Diceros bicornis minor: one gene and its partner. The protein of the gene in region 1 interacts with the protein of each later gene in a pairwise test. Links are inferred from orthologs where the notes say so. Each region holds a gene or a part of one and is shown on either strand. Other genes may lie near its edges.

What was found. The genes of interacting proteins can lie anywhere in the genome.
Region 2: the proteins of ARRB2 (region 1) and AGTR1 interact in a two-hybrid assay, tested with the Homo sapiens proteins (2 studies listed by BioGRID and IntAct, with this or other methods). The link is inferred for Diceros bicornis minor from reciprocal best matches to the Homo sapiens genes ARRB2 and AGTR1.

What each region holds. Positions count from the first base shown.
Region 1 is NC_080757.1:11,498,949-11,506,343, forward strand, and holds the start of ARRB2 (beta-arrestin-2), read left to right. Parts: upstream 1-3,275; 5' UTR 3,276-3,503; coding exon 3,504-3,571; intron 3,572-6,499; coding exon 6,500-6,530; intron 6,531-7,159; coding exon 7,160-7,220; intron 7,221-7,330; coding exon 7,331-7,375; intron 7,376-7,395. UniProt on the Homo sapiens protein: Functions in regulating agonist-mediated G-protein coupled receptor (GPCR) signaling by mediating both receptor desensitization and resensitization processes.
Region 2 is NC_080741.1:6,215,315-6,222,709, forward strand, and holds the start of AGTR1 (type-1 angiotensin II receptor), read right to left. Parts: upstream 4,309-7,395; 5' UTR 3,946-4,308; intron 1-3,945. UniProt on the Homo sapiens protein: Receptor for angiotensin II, a vasoconstricting peptide, which acts as a key regulator of blood pressure and sodium retention by the kidney.

The sequences.
Region 1 (7,395 bases):
ATTAATTACTTTTCATACCCTTTACCCATTTTCCTATTGAGTTGTTCATCTCTATCTTATGAGTTTGTAGGAACTCTTTGTATGTGTGGGAAATTATTCTTGATTGTTATATGTGTTGCAAGAGGTTTCTTCCAATTTGTCTTTTTATTTTACTTGTTATTTTTTAATCTCAGTCTTTTTGAAATAAGGTGTTGTGATTAAGGGCACAGACTCTGGAGCTAGACTGGTGGGTTCAAACACTAGCTTTGCCTCTTGCTAGTCATGTGAGCCAGCAAGTTACTCAACTGTGCCTCCACTTCTTCATCTGCAAAGAGCAGATAATCATAGAACCTTAACTCATAGGGTTGTGAGGACAAAATGAACTGATGTTTGTCAAGTGCTTAGAACAATGTTTGGCACATGGTAAATACTATAAAGTGTTAGTTGTTATTATTATAGCCCTGGGGTTTGATATACTCCGAGGCTTTTCCTAACCTCCCAGAGTATAAAAATATTCTCCTGTATTTTCTCCTAATACTTGCATAGTTTTACTCTGTGCATTTAGATCTTTAACCCATCTGGAATTTATTTTGTTTAAGGTATGACATAGAGGTATAACTTTTTTTTTTCCCCAAACATAGCTGATTGTCCCAACCCTATTTAGTGAATCTGCCATTATTTCTCTATTGACTCGAAATGCTACCACGTGGATCTGTATCTGGACTCTATTCTGTTTCATTGCTCTGTTTAGTATTATTGCACCAATAACACAATTTTAATTACTGTAACATAAATTATCTTATCTGGTAAGACAAATGCGTGCTATACTCTTATTTTTCAAAAATTTCCTGGCTATACTTGAAAGTTGATTCTTCTGATTATGTTTAGAATCAAGTTCCTCCCAAAAAAGTCTCGTTGTTATTTTATTTTATTTTATTTTATTTATTTATTTATTGTGAGGAAGATCAGCCCTGAGCTAACATCCATGCTAATCCTCCTCTTTTTGCTGAGGAAGACAGGCTCTGAGCTAACATCTATTGCGAATCCTCCTCCTTTTTTCTCCCCAAAGCCCCAGTAGATAGTTGTATGTCATAGTTGTACATCCTTCTAGTTGCTGTATGTGGGACGCGGCCTCAGCATGGCCGGAGAAGCGGTGCATCAGTGCATGCCCAGAATCCGAACCGGGGCTGCCAGCAGCGGAGCGCGCGCTCTTAACAGCTAAGCCATGGGGCCGGCCCCTTGTTATTATTTTATATGGCGTTAAATTTATAGACAATTTGCAGAGAAATGACGTCTTTATAATGATGGTTTTTCCCACCTAGAATATGGTGTATATCTTTCCTTCTTTCTGGCCTCCTTTACTATCTTTCTAAAGTTGTCTTTATATTAGTATCTTTTAATACAGTTGTTTTCATGCCACACAGACCACTTATCTTTCAGTTCCAAAAGCAGTTTAGATATGTAGCAATACACATCTCATTACCTTCTGATCCTGACCCTTTGACAAAAGTGATTCACGAGTCGAAAAGAATCTAAAACTTGAGAGGGGTGAAGAGTGAGCTTAGAAGGTGGTGATAGAACTGAGGGGTAGGGAGGTGGCAGCTGGTGGACAAGGTGTGTGTTTGAACCTTAAAGATGATCTCAGAAACTGTCTTGTGTGCATAGAAAAGTGGAGGGAGAAGTGTGAAGTTAGTTCATTTGGGAAAGATGGGGAGTATGGGAAATGAGATGGAAGAAGAAAAAATATTTTAGCTCCTTAAGTCCAGAAATGTCCATCATCCATCACCCTCCCCAAGTCCAGTCAATTTTGCCCTAGAAATGACTCTTCAGCCTCTTCTCCCTCCCACTCTATCGTTCATCATTTCCCCTTGACTGGTTTCAGTCTACAGCAGCCTTGCCCCACTCCCTCCACCCTCCACATTGCCCAGAACTATCTTCCTAAAAGAGAAATCTCATCATGCCACTTCTTTGCTTAAAAAACCACTACTGGATCCATGTGTCCTCCTCCAGGGCAGGGCCCCAGTCTCATTCCTTCACCTGCTATACAAAATCTTTGTTTTGACTCTGTTCCAGTCTCCTCAGCCTTCTCTCTCCTGCCATCTAACCCCACAAGCACTTCAGAACAGGATGTGCCTGGCCTTTCTCTCTCTTTGGAATACCCTTTCTCAACTTCTGCCCACTATTCAGAAAGATTGTCCTCAAATGTCTCCTCCTCTGTACAGCCTGCACTCTCTCCACCCCCGCTCCAGTCAAATGCTGGTAGTTGCTTTGTCTTCTGAGTCATACCTCCATTATAGCATTCCTGGGATCATAATACCAGTTCATGTGTGTCCTCACCTATACTACGAAGGCTGGAGCCATGTTAATTAATGTCTGTGTCCCCATCGCCTACCACAGTGACTGGCACAAAATAGGCATGGATGGATGGATGGATGGGGAGGGAGGGAGGGATGGCTGGGTGGGTGGGTGGGTGGATAGATGGGGAGGGAGGGAGGGAGGGATGGGTGGATGGATGGGTATTAGTTGGAATGAGTGGATGGAGATGGGTAGTTAGAGAAATTAGAAAAGTAACCCTGCGAAGATCAAAAATAGACACCAGGGGGAGCTGACACACCACAATAAAGAAGTGGGAGGGCGATCCCAAGAAGGCTGCAAGCTCTGGGATGAGCGGGTGAGCGGCGAGCACTAAGGCAAGCACCACGCAACTAGAACCGCTCACCCACGTGTGTATCCCCTCATTCTCCTTCCCCGACTGTGCTTGAGCTCATTGCACCGCCTCCACCGCCACAGAGAAAGCAAACAAAGGGGAGGGAACCCCTGCAGGGCCCTGGATGCAGGGAGCCAATCAGAGGGCTGTAATCTTCTGGCAGGCGGGAGGCTTCGTTTAAGGGAGCCCAAGCAGTTTCTAATGGGGTGCGGAGGGACGGAGAGATGGGCGGGAAGAGCAGGGAGTAGACACAGCGCTGGCCGGGGAGAGATCCCTCGGGAAGGGTGGAGATAGAGCGCAGAGGGGGCGGGGGCGGAGCCAATCGCCGCCGGTGTCTGTGAGAAGAGGGCGGGCAGCGCCGCGGCGCGCGCGATCCGGGCTGACGCATCAGGCCCCTGTTCCCCAGGATCCGAGGGGGGGCGGGAGGGGAGGGGGAGAGGAGAAAGATCGGAGGGCGCGCGTGCGCAGTGGCGCGGGGAGGAGCAGGGACCTGGCAGCGGGCTAGGAGGCTGCAAGCGAGCCGCGAACTGGGCGGGCGGCAGGCGCGTGCACCATGGGGGAGAAACCAGGGACCAGGTAAGGCAGGTGGGGCCACGCGGCGGGACGTGGGCGGCGGCTCGGGGCGGGTGCTGGAACGGTCCCCAGACAAGGACACCGGGGAGAGAATCCGGGAGCCGGACGCCTGGGTCCCTAGGGAGCAGCCATCCGGGGCCGCACGCCTAGGTCCTCGAGGATAATGAGGGGGATGCATGCTAGGGCCCCTGCAGAAAGCGAGGGCTGAGGGGATCAGGAAGCCGGCATCTGAGTTCTCGCAGGGATGTGGGGGCCGGAGGACTGGGTTCTCCGGTGCAGGCTGCGATGCAGAGGCGGAGGAAGGAGGAGCAGGTGGCCGGTCCCAAGGGGTCGGGTATGGGCAAGCTGGATGCCGGGAGGGGGATTCCCCCCTAGACTCGTGCCGAGCCACTGAAAAGCCTCCTGTCCAATACCCCACAGGCAGTTGGGCTGCCCCCACCGTCCCGAGGGCCGGCCCCGCTTCCAAACTTCTGCCTTCCCCTGGGTTGCTAGGAACAACAGCTTCATCTTAGGGAGCAGAGTGCACGGCGACCCTCCCCGATTCTGGGCCTTACCCCTCTTCCCGGGGGTGAGGGGAGGCAGTATCTGCCCTGGGCACGCCATCCACTCCCCGGATGTTTTCTGTGCAATCGAGGCTCTTTCCTTCCACTGACAGCTCGAGTTCTCTTTTTTGGTCTCTAGCAAAATCCACTTCCTGTTGTGACCCAACACCCCTAAGGGGCCAGTGGGTGAATGCCTGAGTCCCTGGGGAGCAGGAGCAAAAGAGGAAAAGATTGGGGTTGTATGCCTCTATCCAGAGGGCATCAGGAATGGAGGCCTGGTCCTAAGCTGTCACTCGTTCTACAAAACACTATCATATCAGCACCCCCATAGAGTAGGAGAACTCAGGCTTCTAAGCACCAAGTCGACTAGTATTGGAAAGAGATGATCAGAAGGAAGATTAGTGTCCTGTATTAGAGATTAAACACCCCAGAGAAAGGGGAAGTCGCTAACTTGAGGGAGGGCCCCGATTTCCGTTATGTGGTTCAGGGAGGAGGACGGATGGACCAGAGGGGGACTGCTGACTTGGCACAATTCCCCACATCCCCATCAAATTCTGGGCCACAGGAAACGGAGAGAATAGCAGGAAGTGTGAGGGGGCACTGCTTCTGCTGCCCCCGCTCATTGGGCATCTCCCTGGTCACCCCCACACTCTGCCTCCTCAGTATACACATGCTGCTCCCCCACCCTCAGCCTGGCAGGAGGTTGGCTGGGTTAGGATCCAAAGGGCAGGTGCCCTGCAGCTGCTCCAAGGCAATTATTCCAAAGCCACACTCCGGTTGGCCAACTGACTGTAGCTGTTGCAGCCCTCTGCCAGGGCTCCTAATAGGAAGAAACACTGGGACAAAGAGGAAAACCAGAAGCAAAGAGGGAAGAGAGCTGGATGATGCCATAGCAACCAGCCCCCAAGTTGGGACAAGAGGGGGGTGCTTATTCCAGCTGCCACCATATCAACGTTTGCTCTCCTTTATTGAATGGGAATACCTGAGGACCTCCATACCCTTTGCCTTATGGCCTTTGGATAGCTTCTGGGAAGAAGGGGCAAGTGAAGTTTTTATAGCAGAAACGGCTGGTGGGATTGGAGAAGGGATGGACCAGTTGGCAGGATTTCAGTTTCTACTATCTGGGGACCCTTCCCAGGGATCAGATCACTGCCGAGCCAGAGTGGATTGGGAGTGGATTGTAAGGTGGTGCAGCAAAGAACAAGCCCACAAGTGGCCAGAGCATTGGAGTAGCTAGACACTTCACTACCATCCCAGCAATGAATGGAGTCCATGCTTAAATTGTTTCAGCAACTGGGAAGCAAATCCCCTTCAATTCAACAAACCTGATGCCAATTACAGAGGCAGAGTAGTGTAGTCAGCCGTCTGTACCTGCGGGCTCCATGTCCGCAGATTCAACCAACCGCGGATCTAAAGGCCTACAATGGTCGTGTCTGTACTGAACATGTACAGACTTTTTTTCTTATTGGCTAAACAATACAATATAAATGCTATTTACATTCTATTAGGTATTATAAGTAATCTAGAGATGATTTAAAGTATACGAGAGGATGTGCATAGGTTATATGCAAATACTACCCCATTTTATATAAGGGACTTGAGCATATGCGGATTTTGGTATCCCCAGGGGTCCTGGAACCAATCCCCTGCAGATGCCAAGGGACAACTGTATAGTGGTTTAGCGATGAATGCATGGACTTGGAGCCAGACTGCCTCTGTTTGTATGTGAATTCCACCATTTACACTGTTACCTTAGGCAAAATACTTGACCTCTCCTGTACCTTAGTTTCTTCAACTGTAAAATAGGAATATTAGGACCTCCATCATTGGGTCATTAGGAGTATTAAATTAGGTGAAACACTTCAAACAGTGCTGAGCATGGAGTATTCACCCAATAAATGTTAGCCAGCATCATCTTTGTCATATGGCTGGCATGGTGCTGGGGATGCCTAAGTGAATAAGGCCTCTGATGCTCACAGTCTGTCTAGTGAGACAGATGATACACAGCTAACTGCCCTTGTTTGCTATCACACCACAAGTAAAACATAAACAAGGTGTGACAGAAGCCCAAAAAAAGGAGTGACTAGGGTCTGGGTTGGATCTGCTTTCTAAAGGAGGTGATATCTGAGCTGGGCCTTGAAAGACAAATAGGCTTTTAAGCTGCTGAGATCAGAGATGCGGACAGTTGGAGGTTAATGGAGTAGGGTCACACTTAGGTAGTGCCTACAGTAGAGCACTTGAGAGGCAAAGGCCAGGGCCATTGCTCTTCCAAGTACTCCAGCTGTCATTGGAGCTGGAGACCAGAGAAGATGGAAAGAGGGTTAGGTCTTACACAGACATTGCTGCGACCTGCCGTTCAGGTTCCCCTGGGGGAGGTCCTTTGGGAAAAGCCTGGGTGGTTCCTGTGGCAACCAGTGGCCATTGCCATGGGAGGAGAGGAACTAGTGAGGGTGGACCAGGGAGGGGTTGCCATGGCACCCAGCTTGGAGGGGCTGCCATGTTGGAAATATTAAGGACCTGTGGTTGCCTTTCCTTCAGGAAGAAGTGGGAGGGGCTAGGGCTGGGCAAAGCCCCAAAGCCTCCAGGCAGGAATCCTGGGTGAGCTCTGTTTCTCAGGCTGGGGAGGGAGAAGGTCCTGGCGTGGGGGTCCCTGCTGAGTCTGAGGGAGGCAGTGGGGTTTCCCTTTCTGTTTTGTTAGGGTCTTCAAGAAGTCGAGCCCTAACTGCAAGGTGAGTCTCCCACAGTACTCCTCCTCCCAACCCTCCCTGGGCCCTTACAAGGCCTAGCCTGCCCCTAGACGATCCCCAACCCCTAGCTCCCCACTTCCTGTGACAGCTCAGAGCCGACTTCCTCCCCTCCTGAAGCCCCTTGCCACAAAGGCTGCTCCGCCTGAGCCAGCTACAGCGCTGGGTGGGGACAGGCCTGGGTCCCTAAGCAAGACCAACAGGGAGGAGCCAGAAGCCCATGCCTGGAGCCCTCTTAGGAGCCGCCCAGGGTGCCTGGGAACAGTTAACAGCCCCCCAGGCTATGGCCTGTTTATCCCAGAGCCCCTTGAGGGGAATGAGTGAGGCTGACAGCCTGCTCTCTAACTGGCTGCCTAGGGCTGGGTTCTCCCTGAGAACTCACACACTTGAGTGGTGGGCAGAGGTGTGAAAAGATTTTAGGGAGCAGCTAAAAAGCCTCAAAGTGGCTAAAAACCCCCACCATCCTCCCCTTCCAACCCTACTGGGAGAAAACCAGGAGAAACTCCTTCCAGATACCCCAGCCTGGGAAGACCAGGGGCAGGGCAGCCACATTTGAGGGCTCTGATGCCCTGCCACCCTCCTACCCAATCTCCCGTTACCCTCTCCATCCTCAGCTCACCGTATACTTGGGCAAGCGGGACTTTGTAGATCACCTGGACAAAGTGGATCCTGTAGGTAAGTGCCCCAGAAAGTGGCGTCACATCCCCGAAGAGGGGAAGAAGTTCCTGGGCCCAGGAATGGAGGAGAGGCCCTGACAGGAAATGAGCTCATGTGTCCCCTTCCAGATGGCGTGGTGCTCGTGGACCCTGATTACTTGAAGGACCGAAAAGGTACTGGCCCCAAGTCCAGA
Region 2 (7,395 bases), on another chromosome or scaffold:
ACTTTGGGATGTCCTCAGGGCCTGATATCACTCAGATCCATAGTATTTCCTCTGTAAGTATCTTCTACTATGGTTGATACACTTCACAGACATGATTCTTCATCTTCCAAGGTAGATAAGAGAAACTTTGATTGATATAAAATGGAATATATCTAAAGAAAACTTAGAGCAAATTAGCAATCATAAACTCTCTTTAAGAGTGCACAACCATATCTGTATTCTCCAATATTTTTATGCTGAAGTTAACCACCTGAAGTACTTAAATCCATCAATCTAAATAAGATTTTAACATCATTTAGAGAAGAACAAAGTAGCTTATAAATGTATAAAATGAACAAGAAATCACATAAACGTTGACCCAAACTGAATGATTATTAATTCTATGATTTAAAATTTTAAGGACATCTAGAGTTGGGACTTGGAATATGAAGGCACCATGAGATTATGAAAAACAAAGCATACCCATTTCTTACCCACTTTCCAAACTTGTAAATGTTAGAAAAGTAATGAAACGTGAGACTAGCAATTTAAAGTATTCTTCGGTATAGCAATTTAAAGACTAGCAATTTAAAGTATTCTTCGGTATAGGAAGGAAACCCTAACTCTAACTGGCAGATTTTAGACATTTATTTCTACTTAAGACATTTAGATGATACACCTATTTAGGAAGCAAACAAACAAAATAAAACCAAACTCTTCTAAATTGAACTACAAGAATAATATAAAATAAAACAATCTTACAGCATTTACAGTATAGTGAATTCTCTGTTAGTATGTAAAATATTTTGAAAGACTATTTTGGTTTTCATATTAAAGGGATTTTTTTCCCCCTGTGACCATCTGCTAAAAAGAGAAAGAATCAAAATAAGATGGCAAAACTTTTAATGTCAATACAACCACAGCTAATAGCAAGATTCACTAGTCATTTCTATGACTGTTCTAAATATATACTTTGTTTTCTACTTCCAGTTGTCAAATTTGTCATTAAAGTAGCCACTAACTCATGATACATCTGGCAAATTTATATCCTTTTAGATTTTTTTTTTGCTGTGATTGAAATATATTTTAGAGCTTTAATAGGATAATCGCACTCACTTGCCAAATCAGTTGAATATTACCTTAAATCCCTATAGATACTCCTGGATTTAAGATGGCTTTATATATTAAGCCATTGAAAAGTTGATTTTTGGTAGAAAAACTTCATATTGTGAATAAAATAGAAAATGTAAAGTGATAGCTAAATTTAGGCAGAAATGGAACAAAATTTATTTTTGCTTATGGGAGTTTTAGTATACTGTTTTAATAAGCACCTATGTGAAAAGAAATGCAAACCATGTAATCCAATGACTTCAGGCAATTTTTAAAGAGAACGCTTAGAACTATCTTGAAGAAAAATAATAGCGCTTTCGAACGGTGACGGGTTTAAAAGCTGATTTGTCCAGTTTGCTAGATAAACATGGGATAAAAGCGCTCCCAGCCTGGCCTCGGATACTCTGTCATGTTTTGTTGCTCTAGTTCTGTATTTGTTTATTGCCACCGTGTGTCTTCAAGGCAGCTGTTTAATCTTCACAACACTTGGATTCACTTCACACTTCTAAATAAAATTCTTAATTTGCTAGCCTACTTGGGAGACTCTCTGGCATTGCCCCATCATGACTGAGCGGGAAAGGGACTAGGTAAACCAGTGAGCATGGAGAAAGGCCAGAGCCTGCATTAGCCAGCCAAGACGTCTCAGAGTGACGGGACTCCATCTCCGTCCCCGTAACAAATTTGAAAGTAAAATACAGCAACTCAACTACTTGAAAAGGACACTGTGACAGCACAGATAGAACTGCAGGAGACATGCATCAAGCATTTAAACTATGAGTTTCTAACTCTGTCTTAGCTAAGTATTTTACCTGGGCTTTGGGTAAGTAGCAGATTAAATTTTCTTTCATTATATTCCCTCTAGCATAGGGCAAATAATTAGTCAAGGTAATAACAACAACAGTAATCAGCAGCAGCAAAAAACCAAAAACAAAATTATAGACACACAAATCTTACCTCAAACTAGGAAAAAACACAAAAAGTAAGAAACCTGAGCAAGCCACAATTTTGTCCTTTTTTGTACTCTGAACCAGGGTTGGAGAGGGACAGGAAAGGTTTAAGCTCAGAGCTCTTGGGATGCAGAGCATTGCTGAAGCAACAGAGACCGAAAGACACTTTCTACTTCTCAGAGAAGATGAGTCTTCCTTGGCATCAGGGGAAGAAACCAGTTTTCTTCTGAGTTGGATGACAGAGCAGTTGATTCAGTTTAAGGTCAAAGAAGAGCCGAACCAGAAATTAAGCCTCATAATGGGCACAAAGCACAGTGAAGTCAGCACAAAAAGAGGGACACAGAAGAGACAACAGGCTTGACACGAATAATCATGCAACTAACAAATGTTGAGACCTGCCAACTTGGGGCCACTCCCTGAGCCTTAAGCCAGGTTATAGGAACTGCCAGCCGTGATCTGGGGAAGGACACTTGGAGACAGCATGGGAAAACCTAACGATTTTCCAGAGCAGATAATTCACCAGGAGAGAGATTTAAACAGCTTTGAGGACCCCAAACATGGACTAAAAGGATAAATATTTTACACTTTTATTTTTCAAACAATAACTAGGAAACAAAAGGAATCGAGGAATTTTATCAGTGGAGGGAAACTTATGGGCAGGGACCTGAGGTTCAGAGTTGTGAAATAACTCTCCTAATAGCACCCAGCTAGTTACATGGGAGTGCCCACTCCCTGCTCCCTGTGCTTCCAGGCCAGGAAGGGTGGTGGAGTCAACACAGCCTGAGGAGAGTGTCCACGTGGGGCCTTCGGAGCTGGGGAAACACTCCAGGAGACAACAGAAGCCGGCAGGTTCTTTTTTGGGGAAGACTTATAAGGGGTTACAGCTTATGCTAGAGGCAATAAATGCCTGGGGACCCAGGTCCGTCAGGTGGAAACTGCCCAGAGAATCATGTTGGGGTTGAGGCATCTTCAGGAAGAGACACAAGTTGCTCAACAAAGTTACAAAACAGAACAGCAGCACCAGATTCCTTACTTCTCTCACTGTTGCCTTCTCTCCCTGAATGACGCTAGAAATAGATGGAGCCAAGTCCCAAACACGATCCCAGAGGAAAGAGGCACCTCAGAAGAGAGAGCTCCTGAGGGCCGCTGCTGGGTTTTTGATACTTAATAACGCCATCGACAAGCGAAGATTAGGTCAGGAAGCCTCAGACGGTCCAACAGCCCCGACTCCCCAGTAGCTGCCCAAAGACAATGGGCAGGAGAGCTTTGGGAGAGACTTGCTGAGGTCTTCTGGAGACCTTAGCAGGCTAGCACAGTGGAGACACGGGGCTGGACGTTTAAAGGAACTGGAGAATGGTGTGCTAGCTAGAGAGGTGGGGTGCAGGAAAGGAGCCAGCGAGAGCTTTTCCTAAAATCCCGCCTCAGCTACAAAAGTGCGCTGGCCGAGGCTGTGGGTATTAGGGTGTGGAGATGCCCCGGCTTCTCCTCGCCCCAATTTGATGAATCAGGGAGAACACCCGAAGGTGGGAGAGTTTGTCCAGGGTAGGGGCAGCGTCCGGTGCCAAGGATCCACCGGTATGGTTTGCAGGGAGCGGAGAGGGGGACATGAGCTGGGGCATCGCCTGGAAAGCAGACAGGGAGGATGGGGACATTTTTAACTTCACCTTAGAGGTAGCACAACTTTTAAAGGGATGCCCGGCAGAGTCATACCGGCTTCCCACTCAGGTCACGGTTAAAAGACAAGAGAAGAGTTAGCTAAAAGCCTCGGGAAGAAAGTTTGCTTGGTTGCACCCCATTTCTGCAGAATTCTTGCTTGAACTCGAAAGAGTTTGGTCAAATCAGGATGAAATTTCTGGGGCACGGGGGAAACAAGCTCAAATTGTTCCCTCCCAACCCAGACGCCCCTTACCTTGGGGAAGGGCGGCCGGCTCCGGGTGGGCGCCGACCGGAACTGCGCTCGCCCTCTCCTTGGTCCCCGGGCGCCTCCCAGCACAGCGCCCGAGTCGGGACACCTGGACGTGCAACTGACCGCGCCGCCCCGCAGCCCCCGGCCGGGCCCGGCAGCGGGCGCCGACTCACCCGCGCTCGGGGCGCTGCGCCCACGTCGGGCCGCGAGCTGGCGGCGCTAGTGCCGGGGCTTCCGCGCGCCGCCTCGGCGTCCGGCCGTGCGCCCTCACTCCCGGGGTCCGCTCGGGTTGGGCCGCATCAATCGCCGCCCCCGCCTGGCAGAGCTGCTAGCCGTGCGCCCGCCCAGGCGCTCTGTGGCCCACCGCCCGGGCGTCTGGCTGACAGGCGCTGGAATCCTCCGCGACGAAGCAGCTCCAAATTTATAGCGAGGGGCGTTGCTGCTCCGTAGGTTCCAGGGGCGACGCTCTGTTTTGCATTCCCTCCTCCTCCGCCCCGCCCCGGGAGACCCTCGCGGCCCAACCGTCTCCCTCTCCAGATGCTGACGGAAGCGGGGTGATGCCACAGTCATCCCCAATGTCACGCATCAGACCTGCGCTCACCTGATTCGTAGCTCCGCATCCAGGAGGGGTCGCGAAACGGAGAGAGCTGGGGCTACAGGAGAAGCAGTTCTCGCCGAGAGGAATGTTCCTTGACTTTTTTTTTAAACTTGGAAAACTTTTTAAGGACGAATTAGGGAACTTCTGTCTCTTTCCTGTGAGTAACTCAAACTTGGACGATACCGTTGTGGATCATAGATCCCATAGATTAATTTCAGGGTTACAGATTGAACGGGTGAGCATGCCTTTCCTCCTATGGGACATACTATCACAGTTGCATTTTTTGTTTTTGGTGAGGAAGATTGGCCCTGAGCTAACATCCATTGCCAATCTTCCTCTTTTTGCTCAGAAAGATTAGCCCTGAGCTAACATCTGTGCTCATCTTCCTCTATTTTGTATGTGGGATGCGACCACAGCATGGCTGGATGAGCTGTGTGTAGGTCGCCTGCCCAGGTCTGAACCCATGAACCCCCTGGTGGTGAAATAGAGCGGGCGAACTTAGCCACTACGCCACCAGGCTGGCCCCCAAGACTGAGTGTTTTTGCATCTAAGATCAGGAGCAAGAGAAGGATGTCAGCTCTCTCCATTTCTATTCCATACTGTGCTGGAGGTTCTAGCCAGGGCAATCCGGCAAGAAAAAGAAATAAAACGTATCCAGATTAGAAAGGAAGTAAAACTATTTCTATGTGCAGATGACATCGTCATGTGTTTAGACAATCCTAAGGCATCAATTGAAAAACTATTAGAGCTAATAAGTGAGTTCAGCAAAGTTTCAGGATATAAGATCAGTATACAAAATCAGTTTTATTTCTATACACCAGCATTGAACATTAAAAAAATGAGATTAAGAAAAAATTACATTTACCATAGAGCAAAAAAATCATATACTCTAGAATAAATTTAACAAAAAGGGTGTAAAACTTGTGCTCTGAAAACCGGAGAACATTGAGGAAAGAAATTAAATTAGACCTAAACAAATGGAATGACACTTCATGTTCATGGATTGGAAGACAATGTCATTAAAATGTCAACAATCTCCAAATAATATACAGATTAAACATGATCCCTATCAAAATCTCAACAAACTGTTTTTGAAGAAATTAACAAGGTGAGCCTAAAATTCATATGGAAGTGCAAGGGACCCAGAATAGCCCAAACAATCCTGAAAAAGAAGAGCAAAGTTGGAAGACTCACACTTCCCAATTTCAAAATGTACTACAAAGCTATAATAACCAAGACAGCGTGTTACTTGCATAAAGATAGATATATAGGTCAATGGAATAGAATGGAGTCCAGAAATTAAATCAGCACATATGGTCAATTGATTTTTAACAAGGGTGCCAAGATAATTCGATGGGGGAACGAATAGTCTTTTCAACAAATTGTACTGGAACAACTGGATATCCACATGCAAAAGAATGAAGTTGGACCCCTTATAATACCATACACAAAAATTTACTCAAAATGGATCATAGACCTAGATAAAAGAGGTAAAATTAGAAAACAGTAGAAAACATCGGAGTAAATCTTTGTGACCTGGGGTTATGCAAAGTCTTCTTAGATATGACACCAAAAGCTTAAGCAACACAAGAAAAATAGATAAATTGGGTTTCACCAATCTTAAAAACTTCTGTGCTTTAAAGAAGAGCATCAAGAAAGTTAAAAGACAACCCACAGAATTGGAGAAAATACTTGCAAATCATATATCTGATAAGGATACGTCCTGAACATATAAAGAACTTTTCCCAACCGATATCAAAAGCACAAATAACCCAATTAAAAAGTGGGCAAAGGATCTGAATAGAAATTTCTCCAGAGAAGGTGGACAAATGGCCAATAAGCACATGAAAATATGCTCAACATCATTAGACATCAGGGAAATGCAAATCAAAACCACACCGCGATGTCACCTCATACGTACTAGGATAGCTGTAATCAAAAAGTCAGATAGGGCCGGCCTGGTGGCACAAGCGGTTAAGTGCATGCACTCCACCGTGGCGGTGCGCCGCTTGGCAAGCCATGCTGTGGCAGCGTCCTATATAAAGCAGAGGAAGATGGGCACGGATGTTAGCCCAGGGCCAGTCTTCCTCAGCAAAAAAAGAGGAAGATTGGCAGATGTTAACACAGGGCTGATCTTCCTCAAAAAAAAAAAAAAAGTCAGATAATAACAAGTGTGGGTGAGGATGTGGAGCCGTTAGAGCCCTCATACACTGTTGGTGGGGATGCAAAATGGTGCAGCGACTTTGGAAAACACTTTGGCAGTTCCTCAAAACGTTAAGCATAGAGTTACCATATGGCAACATATTTTTTGAATTCTCACAAAATTAAAAATACCAGCTTTACTAAAATGTAATCAAATGTGTAGTAAGCAAAAGTTTCTGCAGGAGAACTTGTCGGGAATGCAAAGTGGAGGCAGACATGGCCCTAGAGCCCTGGCTGTGCTAACCCAGGAGGGAGGCACATCCCCTTCCCCACTTGGTTGTGCCTCTGGGTCAGGGCCTGTCTCATTTCACTGATGTGCTGGGTGCCTGACACATGGCAAGAATCCCCACAAATGCAAACAAATCACTGATATAAGACTGACTTTGATGCCATACAAGCCATGTATCTTGGAACAAATGTTGCTTAAGATGGATCTTGAAGGATGGATAGGATTTTTGAACTAGGGACCAAGGAAACAACATGTGTCAAAGTACTTTGGTAAAATGTTATCATTTGTATGGGAAAGAGGGTTGCTGGAATTTTCTAGAGTATATGAGTAATAATAAGAGCTATCATTTATTGGATTCTTACCATAAATCAGACATCTATTAAGCCCTCATATCTATTAATATAATTAATCATCACAGAAAACC